Linked DNA regions of Drosophila melanogaster. The protein of the gene in region 1 interacts with the protein of each later gene in a pairwise test. Each region holds a gene or a part of one and is shown on either strand. Other genes may lie near its edges.

What was found.
Region 2: the proteins of CheB93a (region 1) and CG16904 interact in a two-hybrid assay, tested with the Drosophila melanogaster proteins (one large-scale study listed by BioGRID).
Region 3: the proteins of CheB93a (region 1) and CG5292 interact in a two-hybrid assay, tested with the Drosophila melanogaster proteins (one large-scale study listed by BioGRID).

The regions. Positions count from the first base shown.
Region 1 is NT_033777.3:21,405,779-21,408,845, reverse strand, and holds CheB93a (chemosensory protein B 93a), read right to left. Parts: upstream 1,402-3,067; 5' UTR 1,395-1,401; coding exon 1,140-1,394; intron 1,081-1,139; coding exon 904-1,080; intron 834-903; coding exon 663-833; 3' UTR 522-662; downstream 1-521. Other genes in the region: CG7907 (uncharacterized protein), read right to left, coding at 2,329-2,868, 2,958-3,067.
Region 2 is NT_033777.3:9,815,376-9,818,748, forward strand, and holds CG16904 (uncharacterized protein), read right to left. Parts: upstream 1,605-3,373; 5' UTR 1,583-1,604; coding exon 1,367-1,582; intron 1,295-1,366; coding exon 722-1,294; 3' UTR 553-721; downstream 1-552. Other genes in the region: CG9459 (uncharacterized protein), read right to left, coding at 2,127-2,696, 2,764-2,991.
Region 3 is NT_033777.3:17,150,002-17,154,429, reverse strand, and holds CG5292 (uncharacterized protein), read right to left. Parts: upstream 2,570-4,428; 5' UTR 2,457-2,569; coding exon 1,974-2,456; 3' UTR 1,936-1,973; intron 1,880-1,935; 3' UTR 911-1,879; downstream 1-910. Other genes in the region: Mur89F (mucin related 89F), read left to right, coding at 1-546, 623-910; Smug (Single-strand-selective monofunctional uracil-DNA glycosylase), read right to left, coding at 2,871-3,401, 3,463-3,774; Det (deterin), read right to left, coding at 4,060-4,191, 4,253-4,428.

The DNA.
Region 1 (3,067 bases):
GTTATATCAGTACAATATTGACGGATTCATAATACGGCCAGATGGTCATGGCCAGATTGATTCGGGGAGTAATTACGACCAAGAACAAGTTCAATGTGTTGGAAACGCTCCCTTTACCTTTTACAACGAATGTAATATACCCTATTCTACTACTAGCAAGAGGAATATGGAGGTGGACAATACAAGAGGATATACCCGGTAGTCAGTTGATGACTGTGCGAGCGCAATGTGCAAGCAGTGCATCAACTGCTTCGACAAGCAGCGCATCAACTGCTTCGGCAAGCAGCAAGAGAACTGCTTTAGAGATAGCACTCGAGCTCCACCTAGTGGTGAGGCTATTATTTACCGATTTCTTTTAATTTCAATAAGGTATATGTAGGATAATATTAATAATACAACCTATTCTTGACGAAAAGTTTTCATCTTCAGAAAGATCAGAGCATTTTTAAAATGTACCTTTTCCGTAATTAGAACATTTGTCTAATCACATCACAAGAACAAAGGAATTAAGCATTTCTTTAATTTTTTGTTTATTAATAAATTAACAAAAGTAATTTGTTGTTGCAGAAAAATTAACCCTCCACCAAAACCTTTGTTGAGAAACAATAAAATCATAATCATTATTAGGTTTAAACGAATTCAGAGAAATAGGTCCATGACGATTAGGCATTTACAATGTCACCGACGATTTCCATGCAAATGTCCCTATCACGCTTAACTCCGGCTTTGTCAATGGCAGTAAATATAAGAACGGCCTTGTGCCGCCCCACATTCAGGGGAACTGCATAGCTGAATGATATTTTCAGGAGATAGGGCTCCCACAGCAAAATTGCCTAGAAAAAAGGAATTTAAATGTATGTAAATGGATTGAGTTATAGTGGATTAAGTGGTGTATATCTTTACTCCTGGAGTGGTAATGCATTTTTCCTTCGCTTCCTTCTTGTTAACCACGTGTTTTGTCGAATAGGAGTAATAAAGAGTGTTCTTGTCGTAAAAGGACTTGCAAAAGTCCTTAACATTCCCTTTAATTATTGTTGGTATCCACTTATCTCCTTCAAACTTCAGTATGCTAACATCAATCTGAAAATCAGTTAGTTGGGGAGGAAGTTTATTTATTTAAATGCATTAAAGCCTCTCACCTCGACGACATCCGATGGATCCACATCCCATATTGTTGTTATGTTTCCTGATATATTAACTCCACCAGGACCTCGTTTGCGACTGAAGTTGGATAAATCCACGAATGCATCCAAATAGCCCATTTCTGGCTTATCCTCGCACTTACTTAGTAAATCATCTTTAATGGGCACAAAATCGTGGCTCATTTCAAATGACCGACCAATAATTTGGAAGAAAATCAGCAACGTGCATAATACTGAAGTTTCGCACCCCATATTTCACTTTTTTAGTAATTTGATTTTGCGTCTCGCTTAACCTTAAATAGCACTCAAGCGACACACGTGAAATATATAAAAATGCCAATAATTATTATTTGACACGCGTATGATATGAATCTACAAGGAAGATATGGGTTTTTTTCATTAATCTGATCTTTAAATGTATAGTCACACTATATTAGCCATCATAATGTTTGCACGTTCCTAATTAATGATATATAATTATAATTGTACTTTCCATTCATTTCATCTATGTACATGTAAGCCGCTAGTGAAACGAACGATTCTGACTAGTAATAACATATTTTCAACAGTGGGGTTAGATAAACATCAAATGTATTTATCCATGGCAATACCTTCACATGTCACTGGTCATTTCATTTGAAAGGCGCGCCGTTTCGTACAGTATACCAGTATGCCATACAAAGAAAGTTTTTCATATTTTACATTTTTTTTACTGTCAATATCTTAAGCTATTTCTACACCGACATATTCGATTGTAGTCGATAATAAAGTATTCTGTGATATTATCGATACACATCCCTTCAAAATAGGCTGCGAAAATACTAAAAACATAGCAGAGATTAGCGCGCAATTCTTTTTCAAATTGCGATGTATTAAATTAAAAATTGCAGTCATACACTGTGGCGAAAAATACTAGCACCAATAAAAAAAAAGCGTTTCCTCTGAAAATTAATAAAAGCTAAAGACCTAACCACTAAAAGTATATAAATAAAAAGCACCACTGAAGTTTCTTTGATAGCAGTATTATTTCTCCCAAAGTAATAAAAAATTATTAAAATTGTATAGTGTTTTTTGTACACATTTTTTTTTTGGGAGTGTATATTGAGTTTGTCCGTTGAATAAGTAAATCACCAGTTGGTTGTCAAATTCGTAAATCGAGAGTCGGGAATGAAATCTTCAACAGAAGTTACATGACGCAAGCCACAAAAGCCGCAATGGTTTTTGAGATTTCAGGCCTGAGATCTGATGCATCCTCGGACATTTTAATCAACTTGTTATTGATCACCCTAAAGTCATCCGCATAGATAAAGAGCGTCTCCTCCAGTCTGCCCAGAACCCACTGGAACCAGTAATGCTCCTCTGTTCCCTCGTCTGCAAACGGAGCACCGCAAAGAGTCTTCACAAAACGCTGCACAATGGTGAACAGAATGCCTTTGACTACAGGATCGCATGCACTTGGATCATCGACATCCACGACTTCGATCTTTTGTTGGACACGCTTCAGGTGGCGGAGAGCGGAGTGGAGCAGCTCCCAAATGTATATCTTGGTGAGCTCCTTGCGCATCGATGGGCCGAAGATCCAACGCACAACGCTAATGGGCTCAATTATCAACCCCGTGACCAGCTTTTCGGTCACCACAAATTTGTACTGATCGCTGGCGACCCACACATCGAAGATTCCGTTCAAGACCGCGGCCTGCCTCTCTGGATCTCCTGCAACCAAATCCTAAAAACAAAATGGAAACGTAAATGATATAGAAATTGATGAAGAAGAGGGTATAGTAAATATAACTTAATACGAATCAACAAACTCACCTTGAAGACAGAGTGATATTTTCGAAGTATCCCGAAAGTGTGGCTAAATGATTTGGATCCCAGATGAAGACAGTTCTGGGTGAACACGTTGATCTTGAGCAGCGGACCGA
Region 2 (3,373 bases), about 12 Mb from region 1:
GGACTAAGGACGAAGGACCCGAAAAGCTAGTGCCCAACCAGGAACCACTGCACTTGACTGCGGCTTCGCTTTAATGTTGCCGCATGGCCGCAATTATTCAGCTGGCACTTTGACTCTGATTCGCCGCATGCGATTCCTATGCAAATTCGGCCGGCCACGGGTGACCCTTCCGGTGCCATAAATCGCCGGTGCTGGGCCAGGCTCGTTCCTAATATTCTAATTAAATGCAGCATGGAATGTCCAGAGACGTGCTCGGTCCAAGTTCTGCGGAGCATGCAGATCACGTGCCAAGGGGAATCCCCTCGATTCGACGATGGAAACCACGAGTAGTCGAGATGTGGCCGATGGGATTTATTCCGGACGGAGTCTAACTCCTTGACCTTTTCGACTGCATTTGAATTAACTGTCGATGCATTTGAATTCATCTATTATTCAAACGGCGCATATGCAAATTGTCGAGTACACTCAGAGAAACCAATGATGTATCACTTTATAATTCAAATTTAATTTAAGAAGCCAATGTATTGTAAAAGTAATAATAAAATATTTGTTGATTACAAATACATTCTTATTAAATAATACAAAAAAAAAACAGGATCAAAGGTGGGAATTTTATAACAAAAATTGTATGAAAGTTGGAAAGACACTCTTCATTCCTATGCACCCCAATAGTTATGTACATACGAATTACCAGTTTTTGATCACAGTGTAGCAGGTGCATTCAGTTGACCTTGCCCTTGGACTTGACCTCTTTCGGCCGAATGTAGGTCTTTATGTAGAACTTGGTGAACATCAGAAACATGAAGGCGCTGGCCGAACTTATGACATAGATGACACCCCGCGACGCCGAGCAGTTTGGCTGGAAATAGGTGTACATGCAGTGCAGGAACATCAGGAGGAACTGCACCAGCTGGCCCAGGGTAAGGTACTTCTTCCACCAGAGGCTCTCCTGCACATTCTGGCTCTGCGACGAGGCGTAGTAGTAGCCGTACATGACGATGTGCACCAGAACATTGAACATGCAGATCAGGAAGACATGGCCACCAAAACCGTAGAATCGGATCAGCATGTGCGAGGTGAAGACCATGAAGACGTGATGGAACACATGGAGGAACGTGATCTGGCGCTGCTTCTTGCGCAGCACAAAGAATATGGTGTCCATCAGGTCGAGCACCTTGTTCAGATGGTACATGTACGACAGTGTCCTTTCCGTGGACTTTAGCTCATGATCCTGCGGCAGGACTTGCATGCAGCTCAGGTTGTACGGCTTCTGCACGAATAACAGATGGATGCCCTGGGTAATATGGAGCAATCCATTGAAAACGATTAAAAAACTGTGTATATCGATATCCTTCGACTTACGTACCCACACAAAAATCACCGAATTGAACAGGACTTGTCCGATGTTGTAGAACTTGAGCACACCTCGCAGCTGGAGTGCCTCATGCTTGTCCATCAGCTTCCTGCCCAGCTTGAGCACAAACAATAGATACACCGTGATGATGATCACCGAGGTGCGGATACTGCCCGCCAGCGGCAGCTGGACAGGATCGGCGAAGGGCTTATCGAACACCTCGAACATTTTCGCGCACGACTTAACGAGTGACTTGACTTTTACCTTCTGTGATTTCTTTCTTTCACGATAGCCACTATACTATTACCTATTTGCTAATTACATTAGTGCAAATTTCCGGTATGTTTAACCCACTATCAACCTTCAACTTGAATACTTAAAGCTTTGCAAATCGAACTAAATACAATATAAGTAACAGTTCAACTACGTTTTTATTTTCAACATTTTATTAATCAGCAGTGCCATTATTTACAAAATTACTCCTTTTGACATTATTGTCAATACAACAAAAAAAGTGTTCTACATTTATAAAATACTGGCGAGACCCAATTAAAGGGGTATTTTGCATATTTAATAGCATTAAGCAGTCGAGTGGATAGAGAGTTCTAGAAACCAACAAATATCTCCCATTGCTTTATGTAAAATATATATCTATGTATAATATACGATATATACAATGATATAAAACAAATGAATTTGTTGTATCAAAAGCATTTATTAATGACATTGATTAATGTAAGGAACAGTGATATTAAATCTTAATTAGTTTTGCTCATCGGCCCACCGCCGATTTCGTTTTCTTGGGAAGAATGTAGGTGCGAACGTAGAAGTTACTAAATAGAATTATAAATACTACAGATATCAGTGAGCCCCAAGTTGCCGATAATCGTGATGTTTGACAATCAGTTTGCCGGAGGATATAGACGCTGTGCGAGAATATAATAACAAATTGGACAAGCTGAACGACTGTGATGTATTTCTTCCACCAGAGATCGCCACCCGAGTTCCGATTGAGGGACGACTGGTAGTAGTAGGTGTACATCATGGTGTGCACCACCACGTTGAAGGTGATCAAGAAGAATCCATGGCCGCCGTATCCATAATAATACATGTACAAGAAGCCTATGTACACCATGTATACGTGGTGGAAAACGTGCAGGAACGATATCTGGCGATACTTCTTTCTGAATATAAAGAACACAGTCTCCAGCAGATCCATGAGCTTGTTGAAGAAGTAGGAGTAACTGAGCCAACGCTCCCAGTTCTTGTACTCATGATCCAACGGCAGATTGGATATGCAACTGAAGTTATAGTTGCCAGGACCAAGCATGAAGTGCACACTCTTTAAATTTGGAGATACATATAATGAATATTAATATATTTTTGTTAAAAAAAAGAGCATTACTTACAAATATTAACAAAATGACATTGTATGCGATTTGCACGATGTTGTAGATCTTGATAGCTCTATCCAGATTGTAGGGCTTTTGATTCTGCATAAACCAAGGACCCACTATTTTTATGAAGACTAGATAGATTCCAAGGATGGTCAACACCGGCCAGTGGCTGCTGGTCAACGGAAGACGCACAGGATCCGGTGGCGATCGATTCAGGAAGTCCAGCATATGGGCAAACATGTCGGATATCTAAGTGTTATCGACGTCGGTGGAATAGCGACTGATGTGGACTCCGGCCGAGAACCGAGAAATGGTAATCTGCTCGTTTTCGAGGCTGATTTAAGTGTGTGTTTCTATTATACAAATACCTACATACGTAAGTAAAACCTATTACGCCGACCATATAAGAGGGTATTGCGGTCACAAAGTAAGGAAAATAGGTTTCCATCGCTTGGAATGCCGGATATGTTGAACATCCACTGTCCCCTGGTTACGAAAGGTAAAATAATGGCATTCGTATTTAGTTTTTAATGTAGTCCAGTTTTAAATGCAGTCCAGTTTTTAATGCCTTTTGACGTAATAACTTTAACGTATTCTAAGATCAATCGATTTTATATAATTC
Region 3 (4,428 bases), 4.3 Mb from region 1:
AGTACAACCAGCTCTGGAAAACCTGAAACCACCTCAAAGGCCCCTGAAAACACCACAACATGGGCTCCTGAAACCACCACTACATCGTCTCCTGAAACCACCACCACAGTAGCCTCCGAAACCACTACTACTACTTCTGGCACAACCACCACAGCCACTCCTGAAACCACTACAAAACCACCCAAGCCTGAAACCACTACCATAGCTGGGGAAGAAACATCAACGTCAAAATCGCCTACCACTACGGAGAGTCCTGCTCCCAGTACCAATACCTCTGCTCCTTGTCCCGAAACCGGACCAGGTCAGAACGTGTACGTCTGCCCCACTGGATTCCGCCGGCATCCGGAGAAGTGCGGCATGTTCTACCAGTGCAGCGAAAGTGCCGATAACAATGATCTTAACATCGTGGTATTCCAATGCCCCAACGGAACCGTCTACCAAGACAAGTCCTGCAGCTGTGGCAAGCCACCGGCAGGTGACAAGTGCTCCAAGGACATGAAGAGGACCACCAACGCGTTTGAAGAGGAAACGAAACTTCAGAATGTGGTAAGTCGTATAATTGTAAAGTCTAGTCTACATTCCATAATGAAATAATACAATTTAATTATTTTACCATCAACAGGTTCAAATCAGCACGACAGATCCGCTCTGCCCGGATGAGGGTCACTTCGCGCTCAACAACGACCAGTGCGGCCAGCTGTTCGTCAAGTGCGGATTCTCGGAGCTGACGGGTCGCATCGAAGGCCAGATCCACCGCTGTCCGCAGGGATTCGCCTACTGGAACGTTAGCCGACGATGCGAGCCCGCCCGCAAGCTGCCCAACTGCACGCCCACCACCTACAATGTGGGCGGAAACGTGCCGCTGGAGTGGCTCAACATTGGCCATAGACGCCGCAGCATGCGCATTTAATTAGATTTAGTCTAGATTCACTTAGTCGCCCGCCATTGTTCGTTTGCTGCGCCAGCACTTGATGGCCAGCTTGGCAGCTAGCTGATTGCGATCGAGGCAATAAGCTGGCGCAGCAAACGATCGAACCGAAGAGTTAGCTTAGGACGTAGGGAAATTACATTAGGTTAAGCACGGGTGCAGCCCTCCGACATTTATCTTACAAGTGGGAACTTAAAACAAGTTAGCCTATAATACAACCATATATTTCTATAATATATATTGCTTCGATTGTTGGAGGGTAAACTAGATTCTTGGTGTCGGACTGCTAGCGAGACTGCACTTTACGCATTTGAAAAGGAAACAAAAGGTTTTGAGTAGTCTTCCTATAGTGGAAACAGGCACAGCCTTCACTACACACACGTAAATGCTGTAGCTTTCATGCAGTAATTGTATTTATGCTTAGAGTTAAAACATACGTTCTGAACGCCATATACAATATATCTTAGACTATGCTTAAAGATTATAATAAATTGAATCATATACAGAAATCGTCGAAGAATGATGCAGTGGTACTTATTTTACTTTCGGATGTATGCCTCCAGGATGCAGATGACTGGAGCACTAATGTTTTCATTCTTTATGCGATTGTAGTTTTATGTATTCTAACTACTTTCATTTCTGATTGCGTTTTTGAAATTCGTTCTCTATTTCACGATGATTTCGACGGAATACTATTCCTTTTATAAGATAAATACGTTTCTTGGCTTGTTCCCTCTGAAATAATGAGTAAACTAGAGGTTTGCCTTCGGATTTTCGGTAATCTGCTCGTTTCCGGATTTTGGAAGGCTTGGAAGTAATTGAATTTTACGAAAACGTAGACTTTTGCATTCTACTATTTTTCTATAGTTTTATCATACTTTAAATATTACTTCAATGACTGTAATAGCTTCCTACTTCTTTGAGGATCAGTGGTTGACTCCATTCATGCTCCTGAAAAACCAATACTGTATCGTTCTCTCTAGCAAATTCTTTAGGTTTATAATTACCCCTTCTTCACGCACGCTTTTGGCCTCGACAATTGATCCTACTTTTTCTTCTTGGCCTGTGGCGGTGCCGCCGGATTGTCGCCCTTGTAGAAATCCTTTAGCAGAGCCATCGCCTCATCCGCCCGCACACCGCCCGTGATCTCGATCCTATGGCCAACGACGGCGGCCACATCCACGACCGTCTTTCCTCCGAAACGATCGTTCTCACAGCCGTAGATGATCTCCTTGACGCCCAGAGTGTGCAGGGCGGCGGAGCACATAATGCAGGGCTCCACGGTGACCACCACGGTGATCTCGCTGAACAGCTGGCGGGCCGGCAGACGTCTCTCGCGGCAGCTGGCGAGGATAGCGTCGATGCAAATGAATTCCGCGTGGCGAGTGGCGTTCCGGTGGACGTTCACCTCGTTCCCGCCACGTGCGACCACCTTGTCCCCATGAACGAACACACAGCCCACGGGCACCTCGCCGGCGTCACGTGCCCGCCTCGCCTCCACTAACGCTTCCTCCATGAAGGCGGCCATTTGGCATGGAAATAGACTCGGGCGAACTGGGTGAAAAGCCGCAAACAGATGAGATGAAATGACCAGGTCAACAAAAACAATGGGTAGCTCTCACTCAGGCGGCACTTTCCAGCACTGCGCAACAGCTGGCGGTCACGGTGAGCGGTCACTGTACGAGCGGTCACGGTGGGAAAGCGAAGTCACCTTTTGTATTTGGGGTATTCCCCGCAAATAAATAATATCTCAAAATAAAATAGAGAATTCTGTTTCAATAGAATACTGAAATTATTAATAATGTATTCTCTTTTGCCACTCACTTATAAATGTAGAGCTTTAAAGTTATAGTATGTGCAGTAATATCCTTATATATACATAGAATGTATTTGTACAGATACAGATATGTAAATACTATCTAAATAATTGACCATTTTTGCTTCAAGCCTCATTCCGCATGAATCGGATTAGGTTGTGCTCCTCCAAAAATGCTTGAGCCTTCTCGGGCCAATTGGTATTATTAGTAGAACGCGGACTAGGATGCGGCAGTCGGAGCACCGAAACGCAATTGGATTTGGCATATCCTGAACGCTTCAGTGCGCTGTGAACATACTCCCCAACGGCCACAATCACGTCGGGTTGGAGGAGCTTCAGTTGTTCCTCCAGGGTGTGCAGGCACAGGTCTCCTAGCTGATTTTTGTAAGCTCCTCTGATTTCACTGGGCGTTATGTTCCTGCCATCTGCGCCAAAGAAAGCTAGCGGACAGAAATTGTGGACGAAACACTGCTGGGAGAAGGTCTGCATGCTGCCAGCCAGTCGGAGGAACAGCTCCCACAAACGCACACCACTGGGCTCCTCAATCCGACAATCCAAGCCAGCGACTGGACGTTTGGGATGCACGACTGGAGGTTGGTCCACCGAACCAGCCAGCTGCATTAACAACTTTACTGTGCGCACATTGCCAAAGGGAATCTGAAGCAGAGCGCGTCAATGTATCAATATGTTCGGATAATCTACAAGATTAAGCTCTTACTCCGGTTTGGGCCATTCCATTGGGCCCTGGATTCATGCCAACAAATACCAGCTTCTTGGGACCGTCCATATAGCGACGTAAATAGTCGCAGTGCAGCTGGGATGCATATACTATCGGGTTGTAGATGAACGGTGTGCTCTCAGGAGGATTCAGTTTTTCCAGCGCCTCATTTAACTTGACTTCGGTTTCGTAGAATTTAAGCCACAGCGGCTTATCAAAGAATTCCGATGTACTGCCCTGCCTTGCGGATGTCTTAGTGGGCTCCCCAATCTCCAGATTGCATTTTTGCTGGTTCAGTTTGCGCTTCAGCATAACGTTTGCTTCAGCGGAACAGGACAACAAATCGCAGGATTTAAAAGCTGCATTGGATTTGGTTTTAATCAGCTGTTCCACATAGAAGACTCAGTATGACCATATACGACCTTGAAGTTTTTAAATTGAACACGAGACAGATTGGTTTAAAATAAGCAATTAAAAAAAAATCCTATTACAGTTTAATTTATAAATACATTCGATGGACTAACATTGCGTTTTATTAAAAATCTTGATAAATAGCGAGTTTTATATATGTATATTTAAGGTTTAAAAATTAGCGCTCTATTTTTGATTACGCGTAAACTCATCTAGACGCTTCTCATTCTCCCGAACGAAGCTCGATTTGAAGGCTTTGCAGGTTTTCTCTATGCTGCCTTTAACGACGGTTCCAAGAATTTCCAGAAATTGTGATACCTGCAAGAATTATACACAAGTTTAGGATGCCAGCTGGATTCGGGAGTCATGGGGAACATACGGTTAAATTCCTTTCGGGACACGATAGCTTGGCGAACTCGCATTGGGGTGCATGTTTCACGTGCTCCTTCCACGGATCATCTTCGGGCTCCCAGCCATCCAGGGTCTTTCCGCACACAAAACAAGTGGCAGTGTCGTTTTCCCGCTTGGTGCCCGTCCAATAGAATCCCGCCTCGG